5 linked regions of the Ovis aries genome follow. The main gene of each other region encodes a partner of the protein of the gene in region 5 in a complex. Links are inferred from orthologs where the notes say so. Each region holds a gene or a part of one and is shown on either strand. Other genes may lie near its edges.

Region 1 (6,347 bases), on a different chromosome or scaffold from region 5:
GCGCCTGCCCTCGCGCCGCACGGGACAGGAGGGTTGGGCGGGCGGCGAGGTGGGAGTAAAAGATGGCTTTTAAGATGGGGGCGGCTCCCGGAGACACGCGCTCGGGTTATAAGGTGGGATGAATGCCTGGTCGGCGAGTGCACCTTACTCTGCACCCCATGAGCCCGCCTCGGAAACTGCACGTGGCACCCCCACCTCTCGCGCAGACTATTGCGCGGCCGGCAGGGCTCCCCCGGCGGACTAGGCTAATGGTTCGCTCCGCCCCGCCCACACAGAGGCCGCCCACTGACTCTGGCGCGTTTCAGGACTCCTCTGTCAGACCAGCTATAGAGAAAGGGGGCTTGGTTTCCGCCCTCAGAATCTCGGAAGGGTAGGGGGGAGTTGTCTTCAGCTCTGATCCCGCGCTCAGACCCAGATCAGGTCCCAGCCTCCATCCTGGACTTATGGTTGGGAAACCGGCCAGCCTCTGTCTTCGGACCTGGCGAAAAGTCTCAAGTTCCGCTCTCAGACCCTGAAAAGGGTCTGGTCTCGACCTCAGCTTCTCTCCCTCCCACATCTCCAGACACTCCAACCCGTGGATGCAGGACAGACACAGACACTCAAGGAGGGTCAAAGATCTTTAAATAAGGAGTTGGTGACAATAAATACTGTACAGGGGAGGGGGTGAGAGTCCAGATCTGTGGTTTCAGCCTCGAGACTCCAAGGACCTAAAAGGAGGGTGAAGAGAGGGGAGCCAAGCTCAGCGGAGAAGACAGTGGTAGGCATGGGAGAGAGAGCCAGGATTGGGGTTCCAGAGCCAAGACCCCAGGGAAGTGGGTTGAGGGATTCCAGAGAGAGCAGGTTCCCCATCTTGGGGTGGAAGTAAGCTAAGTAGGGGCCCCCAAGGTAGTCAGAATGGTTTGGGGTGAGAGTCGGGGTCAAGGGTCAGAATCCCAGAGAAAGGAGCCAGGGCTAGGGGTGGCAATCAGTGTCTCAGAAATTACCGGCCTGGTCTGGGAGTCTGGGGATGAGGGAGGCAGAGGAGCCCCAGGGGTGTGGTGGCAAAGGGCTCACGAGTAGCTCTGATGTTGCTGGCGCCGCCGGGCGGAGCGCATCTTCTCAAAGCGGGCTTCCATCTCCTCCAGCACTCGGGGTGTGTAGCGTACCACCAGCTTCACTGAGCCCTGGGCAGCCTTCAGAAGCTCCACTGCCTTCTCATGCTGCTCACCCTCAACGCTCTGCAGGGACCGTTCAGACAGTTCACCTTTATCCCCTTCCCCTCTGGCAAAGCCTGACGACCCCCAATCCACCCCTCCTGCCCTGTTTTTTGTCCCCACCACCTGGCCCCAGCTCAGACCTCATCCTCGGTGTTCCAGCCCCCAGTCCCTTATTCCCCAGAGTCCCAAGGGGGGTCTTTATATACCTCCAGGCTGAGCAGCCTTCCATTGCTCACAGTCCTCCCAGGCTGACCCCAACCACCTATCTAGCTCTGCCTCCTTCTATTCTAACCATAGTGGTTTTAATTATCTGCATGCCCTAGTCCATCAGAACCAAGTCCTTTCTCTTCAGCTCACAGGATTGCAGAGCCACAGTCCCTGCCTACAGTACCTTCAACCTAACATTCTTCTCCACCAACTCCTACTCATCCTTCAAAACCCAACTCAAGGAGACTTCCCTGGTGGCCCAGTGGCTAAGACTCTGTGCTCCCAATGGAGGGAGCCCAGGTTCACTCCCGGGTCAGAGAACTAGATCCCACATGCTGCAACCAAGACCTAGAGCAGCCAAAAACAAAAAACAACAAACTCAAATGTTCCTTAATCTCCAAAAACTTCCCTCATCTACACTGGTCTGGTGCCACATCTGGGCTTTCACAGTGCTCTGTGCTTCCTCATTATCTCCCTGGTTTAGGATTATTTCAGCCAGGGTCTATCTCCCTCACCAGAGAGGGTGTCCTTGGAGGTAGCAGCAGAGGCCAGTTACTCTCAGCATGTGTGCAAGGTAAGTTGCTTCAGTCGTGTCCAACTCTGCAACCCTATGGACTGTAGCCTGCCAGGCTCCTCTGTCCATGGGATTCTTCAGGCAAGAATACTGGAGTTCTTTCCATTTCCTTCTCCAGGGGATCTTCCTGACCCAAGGATCAAACCCAAGTCTCCTGCATTGGCAGGCAGATTCTTTACCACTGAGCCACCTGGGAAGCCCCCTAGTTACTCTCAGGGTCTGCAGCAAAGCCCAGAACAGGGTGAGACACAGAGGCAGCGTTCAGTGTGTTGAGTGAATATGAAAAACAGGGACTCTGCTACCTTGGGCAGACTATGACCCCTGCCTCAGCCCCCAACTCACCACACCATTCACTGACAGCAGCTGGTCCCCACGCTTCAGGCCTCCGTGGCGGTCAGCCACACCCCCAGGGATGACACGGGAGATGTAGATAGGCGAATTCTGCTCCTTGCCCCCCATGATGTTGAAGCCCAGGCCCTCGTCCGTCTTGGGCAGTTCCACTACCCTGGGATGTGCATGGCCCTCACTGGCTGTGAAGGCGGCCACCGTGGCCTGGGAAAGAGAAAGCCTTGGGAGGTGAGGACCCCCCACAATGGGCATACGCATTCAGGTAGAGGCTAGGCCCCCGCCCAGGAGAGGGATTCGGCCAGGGAGCTCTTCTCAAGAATGGGGCACCTGCCATACAAGTCAACACAAGATCACTCTGTAGTGACAGGATGTCCATTTTCGTCACTTTGGACACTTCAGACTGTCAAAGAGAAAGCCTCCATTTGCTGTGTGTGTCTTGAATCTCATTTTTTTTGCCAATCTCACTTTTTTACAGAGAGAAACAAAGGCCTGAGAGAATCTCGAGCCTCGTGCAAGCAAACAGCATCTAACCGTGATTTAGTAAGATTTCAGTGTTTAACCCAACTTCATTGTTTTCATCGTGTAAAGGTTTAAACTTATCTTCTGGTCAGGCATTTCATACTAGTTTCTAATTGTACTTGCTAATTGCCTGGAGAATTCCATGCACAGAGGAGCCCGGTGGGTCACAAAGAGTCGAACACGACTCAGTGACTAAAACTTTCACTTTTCACTTTCAAAGATACCTTTATATGACATTGAAGCTACAAATGTGAGATTATTCAAAATATATTATAAATACTAGTAGAGGTGATAGACAGATATGGCAAAAATCATGAAGGAGGAAACAGGAATGACTGGCTTTAGGAAGACGCTGAGCTGGACCATGCGATTCAGTGGATACCATGAGCCATGGGGTGGGGGGAGCCTACCTTGGCCGTGGCGTGGGCCCGGATCTCAGCACTGCCGGTGATGTCCAGCGTGTCGTAGAGCTGCTCATACACCTGGTGAGGACGCAGCCCTGCCTCAGGGAGCCGCCAGCCCAGCTCCTCAACGCAGGCGTCCAGGCCCGCAGACCCTCCCACCCAAGGGTCCGCTCCGCCCCCGCAACTCCGAAGCCGCGGAAACTACAACTCCCGAAGAACCCCTGGGCTGAAGCGCGGGCACCACCCCCCAACCCCCAGGAGCGCCGCCCCGGTCGCTGCCGGGAGGCGTAGTCCCTCGGCTCGGGGCGACCAGGAGGAGAACTACGGCCGCCCGCCCCGTGCCTCGGAGCCGCGGTGCTCTCACCTCCCGGATGGCAGAGCAGAAGCGGCTCTGCAGGACTCGCTGGAGGGCCTGCAGCTTCTGCGGGGGCAGCTCCCCGCTGCGCTGGAGCCGCTCGAGGAGCTCCACTGCCCGGGACACTTCTGCGGGGCGGGGGCGGGGCGCACAGACACACACTCAGAGACGCGAAGACGCAGAGAACCCGGAGAGACTGCGTCCAGAGACCAAGTCAGGGCGAACGCAGACCCGGGAAAGAACAGCCGCGTCCCGGCCGGACACCCGCAGAGTCGCCGCGGGTGGCAGAGGAGAGACTGCGGCCAGCCGGGCGCCCTGCGTGCCCGGGATCCCCACAGACACCCACGCAGAGGTGTGCGTGCAGCGGGCGCCCCCTCCCCGGCCCGCTCGCCCACGGACCCTCCCACACCCCCCGACGGCCGGACTCTCGGCGCCCCGCCCCGCCCACCCCCGCCGGGCCCGCCCACCCGCCGGGGTCTTGCCCGGGGAGGGGCGGGAGACTGGGATGCAGACCCGCGGCCGGGTGGGCAGGGCCGCGGGGCGCGCTTACCCCGCTCCAGCCCCAGCGGCTCCACCAGCGCAGCCATGTCCGCGCCGCCTCTGCGAGGAACCCGCCTGCCGGTCGCCGGCGAGGAGGGCGGGGCTGCTCGAGGCCACGCCCCGGCGACGAGCGCCCCCTGCGGAAGCGGGGCCCGGCGAGCGCGAGCCTGCCCACCCGTCTCGAGTCGTGTCTCGCTGCCCTGCCCTCAGACCCCATCCAGGTGTTGGGTTAGTGACCCCTCCTATTGCAGCTTCTGTCTGCACCACCTTCCATCTCATCTGTCTGTCCTGCCCGCCTCACCTGTCTGTCTCCTTTCTGTCCGTTTTTTCCACATTCATTGTGGAAAGATTGAAGTCAGGAGAAGAGGGGACGACGGAGGATGAGATGGTTGGACGGCATCATAGACTCAATGGACATGAGTTTGAGTGAACTCTGGGAGTTGGTGATGGACAGGGAGGCCTGGCGTGCTGCGGTCCATGGGGTCGCACAGAGTCAAACACGAACTGAGCGACTGAACTGAACCATGTCACACATTGGGCCCAAGATCATGGATACAGTGGTGAGCAGGGCAACTAAGCCCAGTGCCCTCCTAGAGCTTATTCTATGACGCGGGTGGTGGTGGAGACGAGTAGACAGATATGAGAGTAGGGAGGTGACGATCTAGGAGAGACACTGGTGGAAAGTCCTTGGAGGTAAGACCTTCATGAGGTGCGGCGTGGGTCACTTTCCAGGCAGAAAGAGCCCCCATGGCAGGATAGCAGAGTAAGGACTGGAGTGGTTTGTGAGGAAGGCGGAAAGGTTGACAGGACATAACTGATGCACCGCCTTGTGTGTTGGCTTATTCATGTTGAGGATTTTGGACTTCATGGTAACTCCCGAGGGTAAAATGCAGTAATCACATGTGTATGTTAAGATCACCGTGGACACTGTGTGGAGACTGGATTGGATGGGAGCAAAACTGGGATCAGGGGTACCGATCAGGAGGTCATCCTTGTAATCCTGTGATGAGCAGAGGCGTGGAGGGTATGTGGACAGATCTGGAGATGTTTGGATGTGTCTTGATTGTATATGAGACCTGAGAGGTGGAGGAGAAGGGGCTATTAAGGTGTGTGTGGGGCCTTTTGCTAAGATGGTCTATGCTGGTGACAGGACAGTGGATATTTTGACTTTGAGGAGCCTGTGCAGTAAACCAGGCCTGCAAGCAGTTCTGAGGCCAAGGTGGTAAACAACACCAGGAGAGTGGACAAGAATGCTAGAGAGAAGAGAATATAGAATGAAGGGGACTGAGGACTGAGTCCTCAAAACTCCTATTGTATAAAAGTCGGGAAGAAGACAAAGAATGGCCAGAAAGGTAGGAGGAAAACTCAGCTGGGAGAACCACAAAAACAGTGTTTCTGAAAATGGAAGTGAGCAGTGGTATCAGATGCTCTAGAGTCAGAGACCTGTAGATGCAGGCGAGGCTGGAGAAGCCTGGCTGTTGTTCAACCATCAACTGACACAGAAAGTACATCCTCAGTTAACCTCACCATTAGTGGGATGGAATCCAGAATGGGGTTTTTGCAAAGTGAGAGGACTAGAGCAGGTTTGTTTGCCCTCTTGCCATCATAGTATGTTTCTCTTTTCATTTTAACAACAACAACAAAGAAAAGAACATAGTTATGGACTTTAAAACAAAATGAAATAATACAGGAGGATAAATATTTTTTGTCCATTTTAATTTTTTCCCAAATGTTTTATTTTGTATTGGGGTATAGCTGATTAATAATGTCATGGTCAGGTGAACAGCAAAGGGACTCAGCCATACACACACATGTATCCATTCTCCCCCAAGCCGCCCCCCCCAATCCAAGGTGGTGCATAACTTTGAGCCAAGTTCCATGTGCTGTACAGTAGGTCCTTGTTGGTTATCCATTTTAAATAGAGCAGTACATGACCTAGAAGGATGAATATTGAAAAGCACCAGCCCCGTGGGACTTTTCTGGTGGTCCAGTGGTTAAGACTCTGCACTTCTAAAGCAAAGAGTATGGGTTTGATCCTTGGTCAGGGAACGAAGATCCCACGCGCCATGTGTGGAGGCCAAGAAAATTAAAAAATACAAACAAAACAACCCACACACACACACAGAACAGAAAGCACCAGCCTCCATCCCCGTCCTAATTCTCCTCACTGCAAGAGGCAATGAGGTGTAGATGTTTCGCCTGCT
Region 2 (6,290 bases), on a different chromosome or scaffold from region 5:
TAACTTGAAAGGTACTATTTGTTAGTTTTTAAAATAAGTCTATTATGAAACTAATAACGTCACATTTTAAACCTCTAATTTGTGATGAATCCTCTCACTTTCAGTAAATGAAAAAAATGTACCTTTGCAGTTGCATTAGCTCTCACTTCAGGACTGCTACTGATGTCCACAGTCTCGTAGACATGTTCATATACCTGCAAAACCCAAAGTTATCACTGTGATTTTAAATCTCAAAATATAACAAGCTTGAGTTCTTTTTAAAGTTAACAAATGTGTCAAAATTTCAGAAAAAGTTATGCATCTTTGTACCATGTTTTTCTGTTAGAAATTCCAAAAATGAGAGGAGTGGGTTCTAAAGTTAACTTTAAGAAACTACAAACCCAAATTTCAGAATGTTATCTTACCCTAAATAACGCAAGTTCATAGTCAATTTTAATCACATTTACTTACCTCTCTTACAGCATTGCAGAATTCACTCTGAAGGACTCTTTGTAGAGCCTGAAGTTTCTGTGGTGGTACCTCTCCACTTCTTTGCAGTTTTTCCAACAATTCAATTGCTCTACAAATATCTAGAGTTAAACAAACACACACTGATAGATAATTTTCTCTAAATGCCTCTGTAACAGTGCAGCATTTAGGATTTATTCCTCAATGGCTAACTAGAAATATAAGAACACAGAGGAAAAAAAAGCCTAAGAGTATGAACTTGTGTGTGGGGGGGTTCATGTATGGAGGGTGGGAATGTAAAGACTGAGAAGAATGTTAAATTTTACAGCAGACTAGGAAGAAAAACTGAGGTTGAACATGCATAAAATCTGAAAAACCGTATCTTTAAGAGACATAGGAAAACAAATATAAAGTCCTAAAGGTCACAAGAAAGAAATGGAGCTCAAATGTCACAGACACATGAACACTGAAGTACTTCAGAAAAGATGACAGCATTATCAGAAGCTACTTAGTCAATAAAAATTCACCTACCATCAGTAGTAACCAAAGTGCTGAGCAGTATAAAATGCTGTGTGCTAATGAAGTCACTATTTCCCAAAAGAACACTGAATATATATGTACACACAAAAACTCTTCAATAACATGTGCAGTTAGTTACTGGCAGGAACACAATTTAAAACAACAATACAAATGAGTAAAATTAACTGGTCTGCTTTCGACTTAGGATCATCACACAGTGTTTTAATTAGGACAAGCTCAGTAAAATACATGTTTACAAAACACAAAGCAATTAGTTTATAAGTATGGTATCAGTAACAGCTGGGTGATCTTGGGCAAGTAACTTAAACTCCCTGTGTCTGTTTTCCACTATAAAATAGAAATAACAGTATATCTCCTTTATAAGAATTACATGACCAATGAAACAAAAAAACATGGTAAGGGCCTGGCATGTGGCAAGCATAAATGTTATGTTACATTAGCACCAATTAATAAGAAACATTAAGATGTTCTATACTTTTATAGAAATGTATTAAGCCTGTTAGGCAGTTCTCATTGTGAAGCGTCAGGAAAAAGTGTTTTACAAATTAAGAAACTTTTACAAGATTCAGTCATGTTTCATACTATTTCTCCCCTCATTTCTTTTTTTAACAGTTTTTGTACCACAGGGGGCTAGAGTACTTATTATTCTAAAGTTCCTTCCCTCCTTTTGTCTTAAGTGGAAGAAATTCCAAATCTTCTATTATACTAAAGGATTGGAACTTTTCTCTTTATAGAATCAGTATGGCTGTCTTTGTTTGCAACTGGAAAATTGAAAATAAATGTAGTGAAGAAAGAAGTACATTTTTCAATTTCAGGTAATAGAAGCTTAAACTGATGTTAATCCAATGCAGGGGGAAAAAACTTTCCCTATTCTCATCTCCCACCATCAGAATAGCTGGTGAATCAGGAGTGCTGGTTCATCAAATATTCTGACCTACAAAATTATAATAAACAAGCTATATGAAAATTTCCAACTAACAAAAAATTGAAAAAGTATAAATATTGTTTACTGAACCTAAACTGTACCCAGTATGTTCTCAAATGTGTTCCACTAAATCTTGTTTTAATGTCTTTGAAGGCATTCAGGATCTTGATCATATGAACTAATTTTATACTATAGGATTGCTGGGAGAGTTTCTTAATAGAATCTGTTAAACAGAATGCTAAGTAAGAATCAGAGTGGATGTAATCTTTCTTATCCTGCTAAATGGCATCCACTAATAGCTTATCCTCAGGTTCTGAGCACTCTTACTGCAGAACTGAAATGAACTCTGAAACAGGAAAAAACAAAAAGCCAGGACTACCAAAAGTAAATGCCAGAGGTGAAGCCTCACATTTTGTACTGCACTTAACAATACAAAAGACTGCCAACATGTTAGAATTCTACAACTAGTTTTCAAAGAAAAACACCTACTCCAGTTAACACCAAACAAATCTGTTCCCATCTGCAAAGCACAGTGTCATTGTGCTTGGAAGAACATGTCACAGGCTTAGGCCTAACTTAGCGAATCTTCCCAGAGTAAGCTGCTACTCTGTCAAAATGATACTTTAATTAATGGTCTGGTGGGCTGGAGGAAAACATTACTTGTAAAGAGGCTTACAAATAGTGAATACCACAAGGAATAAATAATGTTAAATGGGTCTGTGTAAAGATATGAGGAAAGACTCCAAAATTCAACTCTAAAAATGTATCCCTTTTTAGAGCAGAAGCTACTTAAATAGTCGGACTGTAAATGCAAATGTTAATATTTAAAGAGACTGTCAATCTCCATCTTATACTTTGTTTACTACTAGTACTCGAAATGTCTAGTTTTACTTTCTGACTCTTACTGATGACTTCTAATACAGGTGTGTCAAAAGTATACTTGAAATTATATGAAATAAAGAATTTGGGGAATAGTGGAATGCTAAAAAACTGCAACAGTACGTTTTTAGGCTCATAGTCTTTTACTTCACTGGCTTTTCGGTTTTTAATTACTTAGCAGAACAGGTTTTATTTTCCTTTTTGCTCTAAAAAGCAAGCAATCAACCAGTTAGCAATCGTAGGATCTGTAATGAAGAACGCTGCTGCACTTTAACGTAATTTACAATCACTATTCCTTCCAGTCATGCAACCTTCTTTCCAGAACCACAGCAGGATTTTTATAAAGCACCTTCTCCGTACCTGGGAGAGACACCACAGGCAGGAAATATCCCCAATACGTATACAAGCGAGGTTGTGGTGGCATTTGTGCATAAATGAGAGGGGGTTTGGTGGGAACGCGCTGCGTGTCCCGGCTGGGTGAGTGAAGACGCAAACACTGTGTATGGAAGCGTCAATACGGGCAAGGCGTGTAGTCTGTCCGAACTGGGCGTGAGTCTGTCCGAACTGCTCAGCTTGACACGTCTCTGAACGCAAAGCAGGCCGTGCCCACCCAGGGAGAGCGTGTACAGCGTGTATCTGCGAATGCAGACAAGTGGTGGTGAACTATGCTGTGCTCCGGAATAGTCCATGTGAAGACAGAAGGGGTCTCAGGAGCAGTCAAGAGCGTCAAGCCCCCTCCCCAGGCCCGGCGCATCGACATCGGTGGCCACAGGCGCCAGCGCGAGGGAAAGCCTGGTTCGGGGTCTCGGAGCTTGGCCCACTCGCCCCCTTGGACGACAAGGCACTCCCCTACCTCCTCCGCCCACGTCCGTCCCAGGGTCGGCCCCACTCACCCCTCTCCAGCCGCACGGGTTCCCCCAGGGCCGCCATCTTCTCCCTCTGCCTGCAGACCCACAGGAAGTGACGACAGAGGGGCTGCGGTGGAGGGGCGGGGCCTAGCGGAGCCGGGAGCAGGTATCGCGAGAGCGGGAGAGGTGGGTCTGGGCCTCGTCGAGTCTTCTTGAGGTAGAGAGTGTGTGGGTAGTGGGCTTCCGAGGCCAGTCTTGTGCTGCACTTCAGCAGTCTTAAGATTTAGAAATCCCTCGGCCAAGTATAGTTGAAAAGAGTCTGTTTCCCGACTCTTGCCCCATTCCTGGGGATTCGAGCCATATTCTTTTTCCTTGGAGCCCTTCGTTTCATAAGGTAGAGTTTAGACTCTAGTTCCAGCTTGACTGTTTGGGGCTCTGTGAACTTGGAGTGCTCACATCGTTTTTTTTGCCTCAGTTTATCCATCTGTCCTACGTAGAAGTTGTGTCTGAGTTCTTAACATTCTTAAGCAATGAAACTGGGTGGTGGTTAGTTGCTCAGTCCTGTTCAACTGTTTGCAATTCCATGGACGGTAGACCACCAGGCTCCTCTGTCTATGGGATTCCAGTCAAGAATACTGAAGTGGGTTGCCATTTCTTTCTCCAGGGGATCTCCTCGACCCAGGGATGGAACCTGCAGCTTCCTGCATTGGCAGTTGGATTCTTTATCACTGAGTCACCAGGGAAGCCTCTAAAATGATGTATTAGGAATCAAGTAATATTTTTAATACATTACAGATTCTTAGGGCCACTTTTGAAATTTTCTTAAACCAAGAAAGCTTTAGTCCTTAAGTGAAATATTAATTTGCCCAGTATTTAGAGTCCAGTAACATTTATTCAAGTGCTAGTCTATGCTGATAATCAGTTGGGTGCTTTTACAAACAGCTTTTCAACAGTTCATGACAGGATTGTTTTAACAACTTCCTAGTTGCCCCCATCCACTGTTTGCATTCAACATATTTTCTTCTAGTCCATCATGAATGCCACCATCATACTTTTTGTTTTCCCCTTGAAAATTTTCAGTGGCTTCTACCTTTGTTTCCTGTTTCTAAAGTTGTGTGTGTGCTCATTCATGTCCAACTCTTTTCGGGCCCATGGACTGTAGCCTGCCAGGCTTCTCTGTCCCTGGAATTTTCCAGGCAAGAATACTGGGACAAGTTGCCATTTCCTACTCCAGGGGATCCTCGGGACCCAGTAATCAAACCCATGTCTCTTGTGTATCTTGCATTGGAGGCAGATTCTTTACTACTGCACTGCTTGGGAAGCCCAAAGCTTTGTGTACTATGAGCCTAACACATCTGTCTAACCTAATTTCTCTTTATCCCTCAAATGGAGTAGACACTCCAGTAGAGGAGGAATATTCAAAACCATGTTTCTTCTTGTTTCCAAGTCTTCATTTGTGTTTTCTTAAATGGATCACCCTTCCCCATCTCCTCTGGCTCTCTAGGCTATATACATCCTCAGACTGAACCCATCCTCCAGGGCTGTGAAGACATATCACTTCTACTAAGCTTCCCTTTTCCATCCTCTTCTCCTTATTGGTCCCTAATGGCCCTTATAGCCTGCAAAAGCATTCATGTATTTATTTTTTATTTATTGTTATTATTTGTCACAGATGTTCAACAAATGTTTATTAAATGCTTAATGTCTATCAGACACCTTGCTAGGCACTAAGAATGCTATGTGGAGAAAGACAAGTGCAGACATTCAAAGATTTTCTTTTCTTCCATCCTCCAACTCCTCTCCTTTGATAACTCTATTTACATGTATATTCCCATGCCTGACATTGTTTGCAGCTCACCAATACTCTGTTCATTTCAGCTTTTCAGGATTTCTGTTTCCCTTTTTCAACATAAAATATTCTCTTAATCCCATCTAGTTCATTTTTCCTCTCAGATATTTGTCTATTTTATCTTCAGCAGTTTGATTTAGGGGTGTGTGTGTGTGTGTGTGTGTGTGTGTGTTTGCATTTTCCATGTACTCACTTAACATGTTCAGTATTTCCTCTAGCTTCTTGAACATATAGAGTAAAATTATAATGACAGTTTTAATGTCTTTATCTACTAAGTCTGTCATCTGTGCTATTTCTATTGATTTTTCTCTTAATTATGGCTTATGCATGCATACTAAGTTGCTTCAGTTGTGTCCAGCTCTTCATGGTCCTGTTGACCATAGCCTTCTGTCCATGAGATTCTCCAGACAAGATTACTGGAGTGGGTTGCCATGCCCTCCTCCAGGGATCTTCCTGACTCAGGGATTGAACCCTCATCTGTTGCATCTCCTGCATTGGCAGGCAGATTCTTTTTCCACTAGCCAAACCTAGGAAGCCCATAATTTCTTGCCTCTTGCATGATTGGTAACTCACTAAATAAGTAAGGCTAAACATTGTGAAATTTACATTTGGGGGAGCTAGATATTTTTATATTTGTATAAATATCCTTTGAGATTTGTTTTGAAATGTAGATGGGACACTTAAAAATAATTTTGTTTTTTGAGGCTTAATTTTAAGCTTTGTTGAATGGAACCAGTTCAGTCTTTTGTGAAGGGCTAATTGTGTTCCCTTATACCCTTCTAAGGTATAAGGGAAGGGTAAT
Region 3 (6,209 bases), on a different chromosome or scaffold from region 5:
AGGGACAAGGGGGAACAGGAACTTCTTATGACCAAAGCCACCAAGAGGCCCCCACAGAGTTAATCTGAGGTCTTAGTTGCAGAAGGAAAAGAGTTTAGGATATACAGAGCAGTGAAAATGTGAAGCCACCCTGTCTGCCCTTTCAGGGGCCAACCAGGTTCTGGCAAAGGCTTGCTTCCTGGACAAGATCCATGAAGCTAGCACAGACTACTGAGCTTTACTTTCAGATGATATCTTTGGAATTCTGGGGGTGTTCCATCTTAATTTCAAGCTCTAGCTGTGATCTGATTGCTTAAAATTGCTGCCCTAAAGATTCCAGATGAATCCATGGATAATGCCAAAGGGCATCAAACAAAAAATGTTAGATTTTAGCATAAAATCTCCCACTGACTAGCAGAGTAACCTTGAAAACATCTCTTATCGTTGCTCCTTTTCCTGTTTTTCACTTGAAAAATGAAGATGCTAGAAAAGAACCTGCAGAATACACATATGTGTTCAGGTTTGCTTGATAAGATGCCTGGGAAGGGGGCTTTATAAGGCGTCCTCTTCTCTTTCTCTCCTTCGCCCACCTGCCATGACCCTCCTTGCTCAATAATCACAGCTCAGCGAGCTATGGTTGCTGATGGAAATCTGTCAAGAGCACGGGAGGAAAGAAAGCTTAAGAATCATTGGCCTGTGTTCCCTGCCTTTCTTCCCAGGGTTAAAATGTTGTGAATCTATGAGCTGTACTTTTCTGTCCGCTATGAAACCCCGGTATTTTAACAGTGCTTAAGTTGTTGCAATCCTTTCATTCACGTACACTTTTTTTAAAAAATTTTCTACTGTGATCAGGGACTATGGAAGGCTTTGAGAATACAGAGATGAATTTAGAAATGGTGCCTTCCCTCAGGGAGTTCCGTTCGAAACGAGATAGATGCAACAGTTTGAGAAATGCTTCGATGAGGCCAAAGTAGTGGGTGCCCTCAGAGCACGTCAAAGAACACCCGGAAGAGGTGGGCGAGGAAGTCATCTGTGAAATCCTCCAGTAGGCGACCAGAAACTGAGTCCCAATTTTAATTCACCGAATTCGAGGCTCTTAGATTTGCACATCGTCTGAATCGTTCACTCCAAACTCCTTGTGTGCCAAAAAGGAAAACTGCTCCCCAAAGAGGCTGACCAACTCCTCCAAAGTAAGTATCAGAGTTACGCCCAGGAACCAGATAAGTACTATCTTTTCAGAGATTTTTTTTTACCTTTTGTAGGAAATTTCTCATCAGTTTATTTCATCAATTTTATGATATAATTAACAAATTACTATATTTTAACAACTTAGAGGGGAAATTACGGATACGTATTGACTTCATACACAGTAATGATGTCAATAATCCACCATCCATAAATGACAAGACCTCAAAGTAAGCTGCTGGTGAGTTTATTCAGATACATTCAGTCTCACCCAACTTGCCTCTTGAGCTACTGAATCACAGCTGGGAAGGACAGGTACAGTCTGGCTGTGAACAAGAACAAACTTTCAGAACAGATCTTCATCTGATTGCACTTCCTCTCCACAATTGATCAGGCATTTCAGGTAAGCCCTTCAGAGTGAAATGTTTTTAGTAGTGGTAGTATATAAAATTGCTCAGTTATGCAATTTTCTTGGAGTTTGCTTGCTTTTTTTTTTTTTTTTTTCCTAATGTAGTCGTTTTACTTGGGATGTTTAAAGACGGTGATATAGGAATGGGACAATATAAGATCTCATTACATTAAAACAGAAATACTTGGGAGTCCATAATTTCTACTAGCTTGCCATCTGTTAGGTTCTTAGAGGCAATGGATTTATCCTGCTTAGTGGAGATGATGATACTGGGGAGAAATCATGGATTATACAATGGATTTCTGAACTCCTTAACTATATTATTAATTTACTAGCTGGCAAACCAACATTTCCCAACATAAAATCAATTATTTTTTGTCTTTCAACTCATACCCCGAGTAAGGTTGCTATGGGCACCACATAACATTTCTTCTGGCGCCAACAGATTGCATTAGTCACCCCACAATCTCTCCAAATTAAAAAACCTCCCTAACTTTGCACTGGCTTTTTCACTGTACTTGCAGCACGATGCTCTTTTCCCTTGCCCCACAGTCCGGTTTAATCCTCCAGAAAGAATATTTTTAGAGGCACATCGGACTGAATCATTTTCATCTGAGCACACCATTTCCAAATGGCCGCACAGGGTCCTAAATCCGGACGCTGCGGACCGGGACGAGCAGGTGTCCTCCGCAGCAGAGTCGTGGGACTCCGGAGCATTCAGAAGTGGACGTCGGAAAGCCAGAAAGAAAAGTCGAACACGCAAGGACAGGTATGACCCAGCACCCGTGTGCGGGAGAGGCCGCGATCGCAGCGAAGGATTCCATCCTTGGGCTTGGGGAAGTCCTAGAAAGGAAGCAAACGCTGCTTTCCCAGTCAAGTCAGAAAGCAGGACGCACAGGGTCGCAGGTCAGAAGTTGAATTGCAACCCAGCCTGCGCTATGTCCCAGCGCCTTCCGCAGCCCGGGTGTCGCCGTGGCACCGGGCTGGGAGAGAACAAGGCTGGCTGGGGCAGGAGAAACTGTGAGTTGCCACGGCTGGAGGGCCGCCCCCGGCGAGGGCAGACGCGACCCCCGCCGCCTTCCGAGCGCGAAGCCGGGAGAGCGGGGCGCGGCTGCCTCGATGCTGCGCCCCCGGCCCGGCCCCGCTGCCGCGCTTCGCTTCGCCCTTTCCACGGAGGGCAGCTCCAGCCGCCGCAGCCCAGCCGCCGTACGCCCCGGCACCGGCCGCCCGGGGGTACGCCTGGCCCGCTCTCGGGAGGCTGCCGGGGTGTCGGCAGCCGGACCGACCCTCGCCCCCCGGCGTCGAGACAAACTTCCTTCGTCCTGGGCCCCCAGCCGCGCAGGCTGCCAGGCGGCTCCCTCTGCAGGCTTCCCGGGGCTCCGGCTGCAGGCGCCCTCGCCCGGCAATGCGAGCTTTCCTCCCTGCCCCTCTCCAACCTCGAGCCCCGGGCGAGCGCCTAGCGGTCCCCCCGCGCCTCCGCTCCAACAAAGCCGGCGGCCGGGAGGCGAGCCACCGAGGGGCTGAGAGGGTCGGCGTGGGCTGCGAGAGCCCCGCAGAGGCACCCCTGGGCCGGGCGACGGTAGCGCGAAGGGGCAGCGGGGACGTGGCGGGCGGAGAAAGGGGAAGAAAGTGTCCTGCTCTCGGCGCGAAAGCCCTCTCCGCTCGTCCTCGCTGCCCTGCTCCCCCTGCCCGAGCGCTGCCTGGCGGTCCGGGTGGGAGTTGGCGGCGCCAGAGGAGGAGGCTGGCGGGGGCCGCAGCGGCCTGGAGGGCGAGCCGCTCCCTTACCTCTGTCCAGAGTGAGCGGCTGGACCACTGTCAACGTCGCCATGTCTGCCGTGGGAGCCGAAGTGACGCTCGGCTTCAGCATCAGCAACCGCTTGTAGTGAGAAAAAGAGGAGGAGATTGGGGGCGGGGGTGGTGAGGGAAGACGGAAAGGAGGGGGAGGAGGGAAGGTGCTGGTGGTGGTGGAGGAGAAGAGAGCCTGGGTGGGTTGGCAGCCAGATGGAGACGCAACTGTTCCGCGGCGGGCAGACCTTCAGATGCGGCGTGAAGCTGAGCAGGTATCGGAGAGCGAATGCCTGGCTGGCTCTGGGAAGGAACTTTGCTGTTCCACCCGAGGAGCGCCGGTAGGGTGTAGCTAGTGTGTTGCTTTCTTTCAACTTTCCACTCGAATAAAACGGTCACAACGTACGACCGTTTGGGGGAAAGGAGAATAGAGGGGAGGGAGGCAGAGAGATGGTTTTTTTTTTTTTCCCCCCCCTGATTAAGAGAGTTTGCCAATCCTCTAGTTGTAACCGAGGGCATGTAATCCCATCCCCTAGAGAGAAAATGCTTCTAATTCAGAAATGCTGGGTTTTAATTGTGATTGCTGTTAATTTCTGTTAAACTTTATTTTGGAATGTTGACTCTTAACGGTACACAAGATAACTGACTTAAAGCCAGGGTTCCATCGCCATTTGATCTCCATTAAGGACCTGAGTACATTGCCTAAAAAATAACTTATTTTACAACTTCTTTAAAATGGTTTTAAATTAAAAATCACAAAGAGAAGTTTCTATCACAAAGTTTGAAAGACACGTACCCAGCACCTTTCCAGGTTGTTCTATAGCCAGTGGTTACTCAGAGTTGCCACTTGCTGGTTAATTAACATATTTGACAGGAATTGAACTAGGCCATCGCCTGACTTGGGGGATTCAGTACAGTTCCTGCCTTCCAGTAGCCAGCGATCTAGTGAGAGAGGATGTTTGTAAAAGGGTGACTTTAGAGTCACTCAATCAAGATTCAGTGACCAGAACTTTCAAATATTAGTTGTGACCCCTTCACCCTAACAGATTGCTTTCACTGTCTTGCCACATAGGGACTCTCATTTTGATCAAGAAACTAAGATATAGATATCTTATGTAAGCAGAATGGTGATGACTATGAGTTCAGGATTGGAAATGACAAAGCTGCCTCCTTCCCTGTCTTCATGACAGAGCAGAATTGTTTTGGCTAGCAGTATACTCCTGAAGACAGACACTGTTTTACAGCAAAATATTTGCACATAATCTACATCATTGTCTTCTGAATACAATATGGATGGTTTTTGAAGACCTTTCCCATCTCATGGTTTATGTTTGAACAAAGAAGATTTCACAAGTGATTTGAGAAAGTCAAAGATGATTGGTCAAACCCTAACAGACCTTAAAGACATACCTAAAATAATAGTTCTTGCTTATAATAGCGTACTTATATTTTCATTTAGTGTCTAGGAAGAACCCTGATCTTGAAATTCAAGTCTTAGTTATATGCTCTCCAGAAACCACATAATCTCTCACTGATCCCCAGTTTCTTCATCTGTCAAACAAGGACACTTTTAATCTTCAAGCTTACTGAGATTCTTTAAAATGAAGAAATTAATTCTTGCCTGCAAGCTTACTGAGTTTTGTGAGGGTCTGATGAGATCATGCACATGTATGTGCTTTGAAAACAGTAAAATATATACAAATATATGCATACAACAGACACACATTCCACCTGAACTGTATGGCAAGCACTCTGCTAGGTGCTAGCCAAACAAAGATGAATAAGCCATGGCCCTTTTTCTAGACAGTGCTCAGTACAAGTTGGGAGACAAATAATGAGCACGCTGTGAGAATATGAGTAAGCTCTGGGCAAAAATGAGAGCAGTAAGTACTCTAAGCACCATGGAAAGGATATACTGGGAGAGAGAGAAGAAACAACAATTATGGCTGATTATCATTATTCACATCCCCTAAATCAAACAATAGAAAGAAGTTGAATCGCGGACAATAGCAACAGAGTATGTGCCAGGGTTTTGCACAAAATATCAAACCTCATTCAATCATTTAGGGTAAAAAGAATATACAGATCCTTTGGCCAGTTGAGTAGTTCTTAAAAACATATGGTATCATGAATATGTATTTGAGTGGCTTGATTCCTAATTCTAAAAGCCATTTCAACGCAAATCCCAGACTGTGAAGTCCAAGAAAGTTGGCTTTTTGTCTTTTGGTTTCCTGATGTATTCTCAGCACCAGATATTTAATAACAAGTTTCTGGACTTAGGCTTTGAGCTCCCTAATTGAAAATTTACCATTCTGGAGAGTTCTTTTAAGGATTGAAAGAGAAAGTAAGAGGAAGAACAAATCACCGCATATCTTTGCAAAGAGTTGGACATTTTAATTATTGTTTCTAGTAGTGGCAAATTCAATGCTTTTAGCTTATGTCTGCACAGGTGTAGAAAATGAATGGTAAATAATTTATTATCTGTTATGAAGGATGAGTAGCTACTATCTCTCCAATAATATTTGTGAATTTCTATTTGACATATGTATAAATGTAAAGTGAAAGTCACTCAGTCGTGGAAGAAAAGCTATGACCAACCTAGACAGCATGTGAAAAAGCAGAGACATTTCTTTGCCAACAAAGGTCCGTCTAGTCAAAGCTGTGGTTTTTCCAGTAGTCATGTATGGATGTGAGAGCTGGATTATAAAGAAAGCTGAGCACCAAAGAATTGATGCTTTTAAACTGTGGTGTTGGAGGAGACTCTTGAGAGTCCCTTTGACTGCAAGCAGATCCAACCAGTGTATCCTAAAGAAAATCAGTCCTGAATATTCATTGGAAGGACTAATGCTGA
Region 4 (6,214 bases), on a different chromosome or scaffold from region 5:
CAATTACAAAACTAACTCTATCAGAATTCAATTATGCATAAGAATAAACACATTCAAAATAGGGGAGGCAGAATATATCCAAAAAAAAAAAAAAATCCCCATCAACATTGCAAATCTACTTCCCATCTCAATCTAAGTGTTGGTTCTGGTTGACTACTTCACTAATCATTTTCTTAAGTCATGGACTCCACACAGAGAACTTCATCTATCTATGAATTACATATAAAATAAGACATACAAGTCATACTACTTTTTCCTAAATGGTGAGCCTACTAAATAAAACATTCCTAGGTTTAATGGTGATTTAGAAAATAACTAAAAATGATTTTCCCTTCCTTTGTTGTTTTTTCAGACGAATCCAATTGATCCATTTGGACCTTAAACCCCAGAACTTAGAAATTCAAATGTAATAAATGTCCAAAAACAAAATAAGCAAAATACTGGTCATTTTTAAACATGAGTGACAGACATATAATAGTTCATTATACTGTTCTCTCTGTTGTCGTGTATGTTTTCAAAAGTTTATAATAATGCTAAATTATATTTAAGTGTATTGAGTGATCTTCTTTAACGTTTTCTTTAATTCTAAAACTGATTTAGTAGAGTATCAATTTACCAATAAGCTATTTGATAGAATACATTAATTTGAAAGTAGGATAAGATACATTAACCTCAAATCACATCAAAAGTTACTCCATCGATACACAGATATAAGGCTGTAACTACTGAGGAAAAAAATGTAATGCAATGAAATGTTTTATTTTAATATGTTATATAGTCATTGATTAATAAAAATGCATTTTATTCTTGAAATTGAAAGGGACAATTTTTCTAGTTCAGTGGTTTGTAAACTTTTCAAGGTACCTAGAGAAGAGGCCCAGAACAGATCATCTTGTTTTATATACCGGGAATTGTGTACAAAATATAAGCTTTTGCTTTAAAAAAGAATCTAGCTACTTTTTAGGAAAAAGGTTAAAAGCCACTGTTCCACTGCATCCACATGCTACAGCTAATGTAGGGACCTAGAAAAGATTATATGATTTATACCATCTCATCCAATCAATAGCACTATCAGGAGTAGAACTCAGCACCCTTGTTCAGTTCTCCTTTAAAACAATGAACCACATCAAATTTAAGTTAGAGTTAAGAATATTCAATATTTTTATCTGTAAAACAAGATTAGACCAAGATTATCTGTAAGATCATTTTTCAAGTTTAAAACTGTAATTCTACAAATGCCAAGTTTAAACAGAGGTCTATATTAAGAGAATGAATGTTCTTAAACACAGAACTTTTCAAACATTTTCAGAGATTCCAGAGAAATAACAAAACCAACAAAGAAACAAGCTAACAGTTATTCAGTCATTACTTTTTGCAACCTCTTCATTTTTTAATGCTTTGTTATCAAAGACCACTGAAATAATCATACTGAAAGTTTTTTTGGTTATTAGATATTTCTGGAAAAGATATTGGTCTAAGTATCAAAATACACAATTCACTGGATGTTCAAGTAACTGCATGCCTCACAGAGAGCCAAGTCTATCACTCTCTTAAGTTTAAAATAAGTGAATTCAGAGAAGCCTTAAGCCCAGCTGACACACAATGGTCACAAATAAAGTTTTAATTCCCACCTATTAAAGCCTGAAAGAGGTTGCTCTGGAATATGTTAATAACCCGTTCTATGGAACTTCTGAGCTGTCTGTCTTCTGTTTGGCTTAGTTTCGAACGATAATCTTCCAAAAGGTGCAGTGCTCTCTGGGTATCTGAAAAGAAAAAAAAAGTTTGATTAAAATTATATACTTACAAGGAAGTATTACAAACTAGCTATGCAGCAAAATACTCTGCAAGATAACCTAAACAATTCTCCAAACCTCCAAGTCGATCCATGCTACTATGTTCCTGTACATATAGTCCTTAGAAATGAAATAATCCAAAAACTGTTCATTATGTCACAATAAAACAAGGTGAGTAGTTTGTAACCAATGTGTTCTAGTGATCATTTAACCAGTAACATAGTTTCAGTTGATCTGATATACAAACACTGATTACTACAATCCATCATTATAATTCAAATATTCTTTCAAAACTAGTAGTTCTTAGCTAGTATTCCACATTCGTTCACGAAAGGGTTTACTAAGAATGATTTAAATGAAATATTAAAACGCCAACACAAACTTTTAAAAAAGACATTTCTGAGGGAAAAAAGTTAATTGCCTCTCCAGTCACTACAGAGATGTCAAGGGAAAAAAGTTTGACAAACACTTAGGTGTTTCCATCTTCTGAATGATTGAGGCTTAGATTCCGTAAGTAATAAGGCTAAGGCTGGGCTGTCTCATCAGTTACACAAACATCTGTAAAACATAGCAAGCACAAAACAGAAAAAAGCAAGGGATACCCACAAGAGTTCCGAAGTAAACTCTCACCTTGCTTCCGGACCGGCATTTTTCTCCAGAATCAGGAAGAGAGCACACACCTTAGAACACAAAACAGAAAGGAAACAGAACTGAATTCAGAAAAGAACAGAATCGAGGTTAACCTAGCATTTACCTCTAACTCTCAAATCGAAAAACTCCTAGCCCTATTTGAAAAGTCCACCTGGCAAAGTTTTCCCAAGTCAAAGGAGAAAGAGCCTCAAAACCCAGCAGTGTCAATGTAGAAAGCTTTAACCTAAGGTTGGGTTCCCCTGCAAATTAAGAGCAGACAGGAGCAAGCTGCCAAACTCTCCTCGAAAGCTGCCCCTTCTCCAAAGGGAGCTTAATGCTAGACGTGGGGCCACCCCTCCCCCGGCATAAGAAAGCATACCCCCCACCTGCTACTGGGGGGTGAAGAGGCGCTCCGACCCTTGGCCCCTAAACCAGCAGAGACTGTAAAGCAGTCCGAGAAGGAACCAACTGGATTGATCACCCCGCCCTGCTCGGGCCCCCTCCTCTCGCTTGCCTGATTCCTTGTTGGCTTCCTCCGAGCTACTCCAGCGAGGGCCGGACAGGACAGCGGCCGCTCTCCGACGCCCTCGTGCCCCACATGCACACCTCCGCGGGCCCCCACACCTGCGGCGCCGCCACAAAGTTCCTGCGAGTGGCGTGCGCCCGGAGCTGGGGTGCGCCCCGGCCCGTCTCCCCCGCCCTGCCCCGCTCCACGTCCCCCCGCCCCACCCGGGGCTTGCGGAGCTGTGCAGAGGGGGGTGAGGGAACGGGGGAGGAGCTCCCCTCGGCGGCTGCACCCCCGTTGCCTCTTCCTCCGCCTCAGCCGCCGGCGCCTCCTCACTCGCCGGTACCCGCTAGCCCGCTCGCCTTCTCAGCTCTTAGCCGCCACACCCCCGGAACCTCGCCTCCTTCCGCGCCCCCAACCGCTCTCCCCCCAAACTTTCCGCCAAGATGGCGGCCCTTGATCTGGATTGCCGCGCCCCCACGTGACCGCTTTCCCAGCGCTCTCAGCCAATGGGAAGTGAGGAGGCGGCTCGCGCCGAGCCCCGGGCTCTCAGCGCTGCAACCTTTGGGTTCGAAGAGGGAGGAGGGCCAGGAGGGGGCTGGGGACGGCAGAAGGGGACCTGAGGAACGTCGAAGTGAACCTCCTTGCGTAAAGGCGCGGCCACCGAAGTGGTTCTGAGAACAAAGGAGTTGACGCACAGACTCTACAGGTGGGCCAGGGCGCCCTGGAAGAGCCCGCCTTTACCTCGTCCTAGCCCACCGGTGTGTCCCGCGGCTCTGAGCGAGTAGCGCACCAGGCGAGGAAGAGTGACAGTGTCGGAAGAGAAATGTGACCTCACCTACACCAGATCCAGGACACACATTCCGAGACACCCTTTAACCTCACTAAATGCGTGTCGTTTCCAACTCTGCCGGAGAGATCCACCCCGGGGGTGGATCCCCAACCTGGAAAAGCATTCTCAGGGAGGTGTCGACTGCACCACCCACGATAGGGGGCGGGAAAGGGCGGGGCCTGGGAGGGGGAAAAGGGAGGTGTTTGCGAGGGGGAGGGGTGCCGTCTCTGCATTCTTACACTTGGTGCTAATTTTTTCAAGTTACTGTTAGCCCCTCAGTAAAAGTTTTGGAGGAACTGAGTTAAAGAAGGGTAGGTAAAATATGGAGATTAGTTAATCTGATAAGAAATTGAAGGTTTTGCCAGAGAATTTTTTAAATCTAAGTGATTAATTCCAAGTATGAATGCATTTAAGGAAGGGAATAGAAAATTGGTTCGTTCGTTTTCTCATTCATTCTCCCTTGCCTGCAACTCCCTCCAAGTCAACAGCTTCACGTATTACCCAAGCTCTGGCGGCCCCTTTAAGAACTCACCTGTAGCTACCGCTGAAGCTCAGCAAAACTAGTTTAAAGCTAGTTTACGTAGTCCCTAGGAGAAGGAAATGGCAACCCACTCCAGTGTTCTTGCCTGGAGAATCCCAGGGACGGGGGAGCCTGGTAGGCTGCCGTCTATGGGGTCACACAGAGTCGGACACGACTGAAGTGACTTAGCAGCAGCAGCAGCAGGAAAGGGACTACTAGCCGGCTGGGACCCCGCTTCGGGGCTGAGCCTCCCAGGATCTGGAAAAGGAATTGGGCAAAGATGTCCAAATCATTTCCACATCTTCGACCCTCTTCTGTGTACCAGCAACCTCCATGCTCTGATCCAGAGAGAAGAATTTGCCTAAGATCACCCAATTCAGTTCAGTCGCTCAGTCGTGTCCAGTTGTTTGCGACCCCATGGACTGCAGCACGCCCGGCCTCCCTGTCATCACCAACTCCTGGAGCTTACTCAAACTCATGTCCATTGAGTTGGTGATGCCATCCAACCATCTCATCTTCTGTCGTCCCCTTCTCCTCGCGCCTTCAATCTTTCCCAGTATCAGGGTCTTTTCCAATGAGCCAGGTCTTCCCATCAGGTGGCCAAAGTTTGGAGTTTCAGCATCAGTACTTCCAATGAATATTCATGACTGATTTCCTTTAGGATTGACTGGTTGGATCTCCTTGCAGTCCAAGGGACTCTCAAGAGTCTTCTCCAACACCACAGTTCAAAAGCATCAATTCTTCTGCGCTCAGCTTTCTTATAGCCCAACTTTCACATCCATACATGACTACTGGAAGAACTATAGCTTTGACTAGACAGACCTTTGTTGGCAAAGTAATGTCTCTACTTTTTAATATGCTGCCTAGGTTGGTCATAACTTTTCTTCCAAGGAGCAAGCGTCTTTTCATGGCTGCAGTCATGATGTGCAGTGATTCCTTACAAATAGCTGTGAAGAGAAGAGAAAGACAAAGGAGAAAAGGAAAGATATACCGATCTGAATGAAGAGTTCCAAAGACTAGCAAGGAGAGATAAGAAACCCTTCCTCAGTGATCAATGCAAAGAAGTAGAGGAAAACAATAGAATGGAAAAGACTAGAGATCTCTTCAAGAAAATTAGAGATACCAAGGGAACATTTCATGCAAAGATGGGCTCAATAAAGGACAGAAATGGTATGGACCTAACAGAAGCAGAAGATATTAAGAAGAGGTTGCAAGTATACACAGAAGAACTGTACAAAAAGATCTTCATGACCCAGATAATCACGATGGTGTGATCACTCATCTAGAACCAGACATCCTGGAATGCGAAGTCCAGTGGACCTTAGGAAGCATCACTCTGAGCAACGCTAGTGGAGGTGATGGAATTCTGTTGAGCTATTTCAGGATCACCCAGAGTAAGTGACAAAACTGGAACCACAGAGATCATGTCTGTCAAAACTAGAAGGTTTTTCCCAGTAAACCAGATAGCCTTTCACTGAGGCAATATCCTTGGGCTAATAAAGAGAAGTCCAAGGAACCTTGTACTGTAATCATAACAGTTGCTCAGAGGTATACAGATTTCACTTCTGGATTGCATCTTGGAATCCTAACTTGTTATGAGAACCCAATGACTTAAAAGCTCATCTAGACTTACTATCTCAGTTTAAGATAAACTGAGGTCCAAGGGGGGTTCATGTTTGGGAATGCATGTAAGAATTAAAGATTTTAAAATTTAAAAAATATTAAAAAAAAAAAAATAAGATAAACTGAGGTCCAGAGAGGGGAAGCAACTTGCCCAAGGACATATAGACCAATCAGTGACAGCAGCCCAGAATTAATGCTCCTAGCTTCAGTTCAAGATTCCTCCCACTGTGACTTTGGACACCCGAGAGTAGTATATTGCTGGTGTATTGATAGAAAATTTCTTTATGTGTTCCTGCATCATGGGAGCTTGA
Region 5 (5,168 bases):
TGACGTCCTGTAACCAAAAGACACCAAGTAGAGAGGAAGACCTTACTTCTAAAGGCGTAAGAAGTGGAAAAGTTCTACCAAATGAAACAATTCATGAGGAAAGCTTGTAGCCCTTCTGTAAGCTGCAGTCAGAAGCAAAAGATCTTTCTAAGAGGAGAATAAGAGGTGCAGAACAAGAGAAAGAACACTTGGGGACCTTGGTATCTAAGCCCTTGGAAACAGGATGGAATTAGGAGGCTGTGTTCAGTTCTGGAAAAACAAGCCCCTCCTCCGTCTCCCCCACCCCCGGCCCCACAACACACACACAAACACACACACTGGTTTGACGATAGGAAATAAGCAGGATGAGAATCCACAGGGGCTTGTTTGGAATGCTGATTGCAAGATGCCTTCTCTTCTTTCCAAGGAGATAGCCTGGGAGGCATTAAGAATATATTAATCAAGAAATGTTCTTGCTAGCTTTAGCGGTATGTTCTCTTTGCCCTCAAGTGACTGACCTGAAATGAAGAAAAGGACATCAGGGGGAGACAAGAGCGGTTGCTTTGGGTTGCCTGTCCTTTAAGGGCAGTGTCCACGCCGGACATTTCCACTGCTCAGTGTCCCCAGGGGTGGCTCAACTGATTATACTTTTTCCAGGAATGAACTCAAAACTTATTGAACAGATTAACTACAAGTGATTTAAAAACAAACCAAAAAACCCCTCTATAATCATGAGATCAAAGTCTTAAAAAATAATCATAGCATGGAGTCCAGGCCCAGTGGGCTGGCCCCATCAGTGGGATATGGACTGGGCCCTGGAGAAGAAGGAGCATATGCTGGTCCTTCGTGCGGTAAGGGCTTTGTAGCATCTTTGGATACCTCGCTGCCAACGGGACGGGCTCATAAGATGCCTTCTGAATGCAAATTGCCAAGAAGTAGGTCACCCATTTCTGTTCCTCTCTGAGCAAATATTTTAAACCATCTCACCTAACAGGAGATACACTTAATTGCTTTTTAAAAGGCTACCATATTATCTCAACACTGGGATGCTTCCTGAATTAAACTGAGTGACATTTTCCTTTTTAGTGTTAAAATTGAACATGCTGCCTGGGCAAAGTAATTACTGTTTTATGATTAGAAAATCAGGACATTCTTTTTAACAGCTGATTTGACATATTAACCCCTACCCCCCTTTCTTGCTGTAAGGAATAGGACTGGAAAGAGAGCCCTCAGAATATGGCTGAATTGACCAGTGTTAAGATTTAATAATCTAATCATCTGCTCTGTTCTTTGAAAGGAAAAAAATGATTTTGTGGATGGAACGGAAACAGTAAAGCGGCTTTTGAGCAATTTTCTAATTGCTCAGTGGACAACTGAAATGGAGTGGCAGCAGCAGTGTACTGTAATTACTCTGGATTCAGAAATTTAAGTCTTTTCTGCTAGGTCACAAAGACACTGCTTTAGGATAGTCGTATATTAGCAGAAGGGAACAGATGACCTCTTTGAGAAGTCAGAATGAGTTCTGGGTGCAGGAATTTTGCCACCTGCACAATGGTGAGAATGCCACCAGCCTGTGTGCTTCTCAGCCCCGGGGCCACAGACTACGCTGGCATTGCTTTTCTCTTCCTCTGCCTGACCTGCCTTTACCAGCGTGGTGGGTGGCTCGACAGGCATCGTCAAGCATCCCCGGAGACCTGGTCTCAGAGGGCAAGTGGGCCATGGGGGTTCCTACCAGAGGGAGGGAGCGAGCTTCATTTCTCAGGTGTCAGTTGCATTCTTCTTTGTGCTTCATTGGAAAAGAGGTAGCGCGGGCACGCTCACACTGAGAAGAGCCCCATTGTGACCAATACCATCCTGGGAATGACTGGCTGGCCTTGGCGGCGCTTAGATGGCAGTCAGTCCCATCACAGCCCCAAACAGCTCTCCGGGTTTCTCCCTCCATCCAGGGTGTCTCTGGTTTAGTGGTTTGGTCACCCTGAGATGGGACCCCAATGGCAGCAGTTTACTTAGCAGTTTGTAAGCTGTATACTCATCGGGTCACCGACAAAGGACAACATCGGCAGAAAACCCAGCACTGTTCGGTAAGAGTAGGGGGAGGGGAGGGTGACACCCTCAAAAGAGTATACAAAGGCCTTCTCTGTGTGGTTCTTCAAGAGGAGCTGTTCCGCTCAGAACACATCCAGCATGTCCTGCCGAGGCACAAAGCAATGAGGCCATCTAACCTACAAGAAGGAAACTCGATGGTATTTTTTTCAAGGATCTCAGGTTAATAGAACCACTGACACTCGAATGGAAAAACCTGCCACTGACCTCTGGCAAAAAGCAAGAAAACTGCCAGCCTGACTCACCTGTATTGGAAGAATGTGACCTCACAGAAGGGTGATGGGATGGTTAATGTCTCTAATGCAACAAGGACATGATTATCCTGTGCCAACGGATATAGCAAGAGGAAGGAGAAACCACATGTTGCCTCCAGCACTTGAGTGGCCCTCGGGTGCACTGTGTTCTGGGAGCCAGACGAGGTCCCAGCTGTGCTCTGGCAGAGTATTTTGTTGTCCTGCCAACTGATAGTCATTCCTAGGCCTTCGATGGTTCAATGAGCATCTAAAGGATTATAAAATCTAAAAGGTCATCACCTTGTAAACCTGAACAAATCTATGATGAAATGAAGGACCCAAAGGCATTTAATTATTGAACACATAAAAGGAAGTATATTTAAAAAAAATTGGTCAAACTGTCCTGTTATCATTTTAAAGGAATTTACAGGGCTATTATAGATTATTATTCTTTTGGAATAATTCAGTTTATAGCAAATGCCTAAACTGGTTTCTTCATTGCACAGTATATTCTCTTAAAACGGGTGCTTTAAAACAATTACATACATATTAAAAATCCTCATTTCTTTGCTTAATTAAAATGTTAATACTCTCAGACAACACAGATCTGAAATGGTGAAACCAGCAATTCCCCCCCCACCTTACAACAAATTAAATTGAGACAAAATTACAAACACATTTCACTACATGGTTATTATTAATAAAAATCAGTTTCTTTTGTTTGTTTGTTTTTTTTATAAAGTTGCCCGAAATGCAAGGGATGTGCATAGGTTTACAACTTAGTCATAATAGCATTTTATTCTTATTCCCCTGGGTGTGCCCCGTGAACGGAATGTACTTTGTTGTAGATTACAGATTGTTTTGTCCAACACAGACACACCGACAGCATAAACGCTCGCGACTGTCCACATGCATTAAGAGTCAAGACCCAACTTCAAATCTCTAAAAGGTTTACAGGGTGCTTCAAAGAGACAGTATCACATTATCTGGATGTTACATAAAGGACTTAAAAAAAATACTATTCTAAAAAAAAAGAGGAAAAAAAGGCCTTTAAAAATTTATGAGTTTTGTAATCACTAGACTGATTATTTCAAATAAATAAAGGAAAGAAAGATATTCCAATCCATAAAATCAGACTCTAAAAAGAATGTAGTGTTCCAACCCCAGTCAAGGTAACAGAATCATTGTTTATTATTATTAAAATAGATTATAGAAAGCAGCATCTATTTTGTGCAGTTTTTAGGGGCCTTGGAAATAAAAAGCTATGATTTCCAAAAATATAACATTCCAAAGGATTGAATAATACATACATTTAAAGATACATTTTATTAAAGTTTAGGAGAACTGATTAAAAAAGATACTGTCTCTTTAAATTAGTGTGTAATTGTTTTTCTCCTCCTATCTATTCGGACATGACAATAATTATAAATGTAGGTCACACTACAACTAGGTAGTCTCTAGGGACCACGACCTGCTGACACAAGGCCGATAACAAAGAGGCTTTTCCATGTATGAGGTGGCTCCCAGTTATGCGGCAGATATCTGGGGGAGGGGGGCCTAATAGACCCAGGAGACGGGGACCCACTGCGGGGCTGTGCACACGTGCTCCACGGCTTCCTCCAAATGTCTGATTGTCTCGTCGATTTCATTGTTGATAATTGTGAGATCGAAGTAGTGTGCGTATGTTCTCTGTAAGATGTCCGACTCCTTCTGCAGACGCTGAAGAGATTCATCCTAAATGGTGAGGGGATGGAGGAAGGGGTGGGCAAGGGAGGAGGGAGAAGCAAAGATGAGAGAGAAGTCAACCAAGATGGTTTTCTCGGGCTACATTTCTGTCTGTCCCGGTGTCAGAAACAGTCGAGGCCCGCCCGTGATGGGACATATCTGAGTGTGAGGCTGAGGCCGCTTCGTGACAGAGGAGACGATGGCCCCCAGGATGGCAGGGGCACAGAACGATGGCTTACAACCGTGACTGCTCACCATGCAACAGGGCCTCTGTGCCACCCTGGATGGACCAGGACACGACACTCCTCAGCAAACACGCGACTCTGCTCTGGCTGAACTGTGCCTGTCTGGAGTCAGCTGAGGCTGACTATCAGAGTCGAGCTGTTCTGTGCTCATCCCCCTGACCCAGGCCTGCCTCATCTCGAACCACTCTCCTGTTTGGCAGGGTGGAGGGGGCTTTGGGGGCGGGGGTGAGGTCAGAGCTCTGCATCCCCTTTCCTTGGTCCTCTGCTCTCGCTTGCACTGAGCCCCGGAGCCCAGCTGTGTTTGCCCCAAGAAGCCCCTGCCTCTGGACAATAAATGAAGTTGAATTTTTCTGCCATGTTCCCGGAATTCAATTACATATATAATGCATTGCCTTCACTCACTAGCAGTGGATATGCCAGAGGCAAAAGCTTTTTGGATGTTACCAGTAATGGATGAAATGAGGCCATATCCCAGATACAAAAGCAACTGACACCCGATGAATCCCTTCAAGGTGGTCTGTGTTGGAAATGGCCAAACATCACTGTTTGTAGGTCCTAATATATCTTATGGAAAAAAACTCTGAAGGAGAAGCAGCTACTCAACTCTTTGCTGCAGTAAAGACTTTCCCTAAACTTCTACCGTGAGCCCCAGAAAGCCTCAGGATGGGAGCTCTTTGAAGATGAGGATCTCTTAAGGGCCACCAGAAAGTCTGCCTCTGCATCTTCATGGCGCAGATCTGGTTATACTGAGCTTTTAATGGGGAAGTTCAAGTTTGAAACCAGGATTCTCTGTAAGTCAAATTAACTGATTAGGTAGGTGAGCTGTTGGGTGGACTCTGAAATATATATCTATCAATAGATACAATTCATTGCTTGTTTGTTT

The links.
Region 1: the proteins of CASK (region 5) and LIN7B are in contact, whole or in part, in an NMR structure (PDB 1Y74), measured with the Mus musculus proteins. The link is inferred for Ovis aries from reciprocal best matches to the Homo sapiens genes CASK and LIN7B. Residues at the interface, in NP_001271432.1 of Mus musculus: Ala405, Arg408, Ala409, Glu411, Val412, Glu415, Ile416, Tyr419, Glu421, Asn422, Asp424, Ala425, Glu427, Leu428, Ile431, Leu432, Gln434, Phe437, Ala439, Leu440, Leu441, Thr443, His444, Val447, Ala448; in NP_035828.1 of Mus musculus: Leu10, Asp13, Val14, Arg16, Ala17, Leu20, Leu21, Arg23, Leu24, Ser27, Glu29, Leu30, Pro31, Pro32, Lys34, Leu35, Ala37, Leu38, Val41, Leu42, Ser44, Phe46, Cys47, Ile50, Arg51, Tyr54.
Region 2: CASK (region 5) and LIN7C share a complex: the UniProt entries of both Homo sapiens proteins name them as parts of the brain-specific heterotrimeric complex. The link is inferred for Ovis aries from reciprocal best matches to the Homo sapiens genes CASK and LIN7C.
Region 3: CASK (region 5) and LIN7A share a complex: the UniProt entries of both Homo sapiens proteins name them as parts of the brain-specific heterotrimeric complex. The link is inferred for Ovis aries from reciprocal best matches to the Homo sapiens genes CASK and LIN7A.
Region 4: the proteins of CASK (region 5) and DLG1 are in contact, whole or in part, in an NMR structure (PDB 1RSO), measured with the Rattus norvegicus proteins. The link is inferred for Ovis aries from reciprocal best matches to the Homo sapiens genes CASK and DLG1. Residues at the interface, in XP_038955489.1 of Rattus norvegicus: Gly339, Ala342, Ala343, Arg345, Ala346, Val347, Gln349, Val350, Ser353, Leu354, Glu356, Ile357, Leu360, Thr361, Asp367, Leu368, Phe370, Leu371, Ser373, Val374, Phe375, Asp377, His379, Leu380, Thr382, Leu383, Leu384, Asp385, Leu386, Tyr387; in NP_036920.2 of Rattus norvegicus: Arg4, Asp7, Thr8, Arg10, Ala11, Leu12, Leu14, Leu15, Tyr18, Lys21, Leu22, Glu26, Asp27, Leu30, Ser33, Ile34, Arg36, Val37, Ser39, Ile40, Phe41, Ser43, Leu45, Phe46, Leu49, Ile50, Gln53, Glu57, Val58, Leu60.

What each region holds. Positions count from the first base shown.
Region 1 is NC_056067.1:55,364,959-55,371,305, reverse strand, and holds LIN7B (protein lin-7 homolog B), read right to left. Parts: upstream 4,228-6,347; 5' UTR 4,191-4,227; coding exon 4,154-4,190; intron 3,732-4,153; coding exon 3,613-3,731; intron 3,327-3,612; coding exon 3,255-3,326; intron 2,530-3,254; coding exon 2,320-2,529; intron 1,218-2,319; coding exon 1,054-1,217; exon of another isoform or gene 988-1,053; intron 708-987; coding exon 686-707; 3' UTR 605-685; downstream 1-604. UniProt on the Homo sapiens protein: Plays a role in establishing and maintaining the asymmetric distribution of channels and receptors at the plasma membrane of polarized cells.
Region 2 is NC_056068.1:56,974,329-56,980,618, forward strand, and holds the start of LIN7C (protein lin-7 homolog C), read right to left. Parts: upstream 3,747-6,290; 5' UTR 3,722-3,746; coding exon 3,685-3,721; intron 570-3,684; coding exon 451-569; intron 195-450; coding exon 123-194; intron 1-122. UniProt on the Homo sapiens protein: Plays a role in establishing and maintaining the asymmetric distribution of channels and receptors at the plasma membrane of polarized cells.
Region 3 is NC_056056.1:116,991,794-116,998,002, forward strand, and holds the start of LIN7A (protein lin-7 homolog A), read right to left. Parts: upstream 3,747-6,209; 5' UTR 3,441-3,746; coding exon 3,359-3,440; intron 1-3,358. UniProt on the Homo sapiens protein: Plays a role in establishing and maintaining the asymmetric distribution of channels and receptors at the plasma membrane of polarized cells.
Region 4 is NC_056054.1:192,591,906-192,598,119, forward strand, and holds the start of DLG1 (disks large homolog 1), read right to left. Parts: upstream 3,889-6,214; 5' UTR 3,767-3,888; exon of another isoform or gene 3,673-3,766; intron 3,392-3,672; exon of another isoform or gene 2,938-3,391; intron 2,474-2,937; 5' UTR 2,443-2,473; coding exon 2,400-2,442; intron 1,764-2,399; coding exon 1,632-1,763; intron 1-1,631. UniProt on the Homo sapiens protein: Essential multidomain scaffolding protein required for normal development. Recruits channels, receptors and signaling molecules to discrete plasma membrane domains in polarized cells.
Region 5 is NC_056080.1:40,718,519-40,723,686, forward strand, and holds part of CASK (peripheral plasma membrane protein CASK), read right to left. Parts: intron 4,050-5,168; coding exon 3,873-4,049; 3' UTR 1-3,872. UniProt on the Homo sapiens protein: Multidomain scaffolding Mg(2+)-independent protein kinase that catalyzes the phosphotransfer from ATP to proteins such as NRXN1, and plays a role in synaptic transmembrane protein anchoring and ion channel trafficking.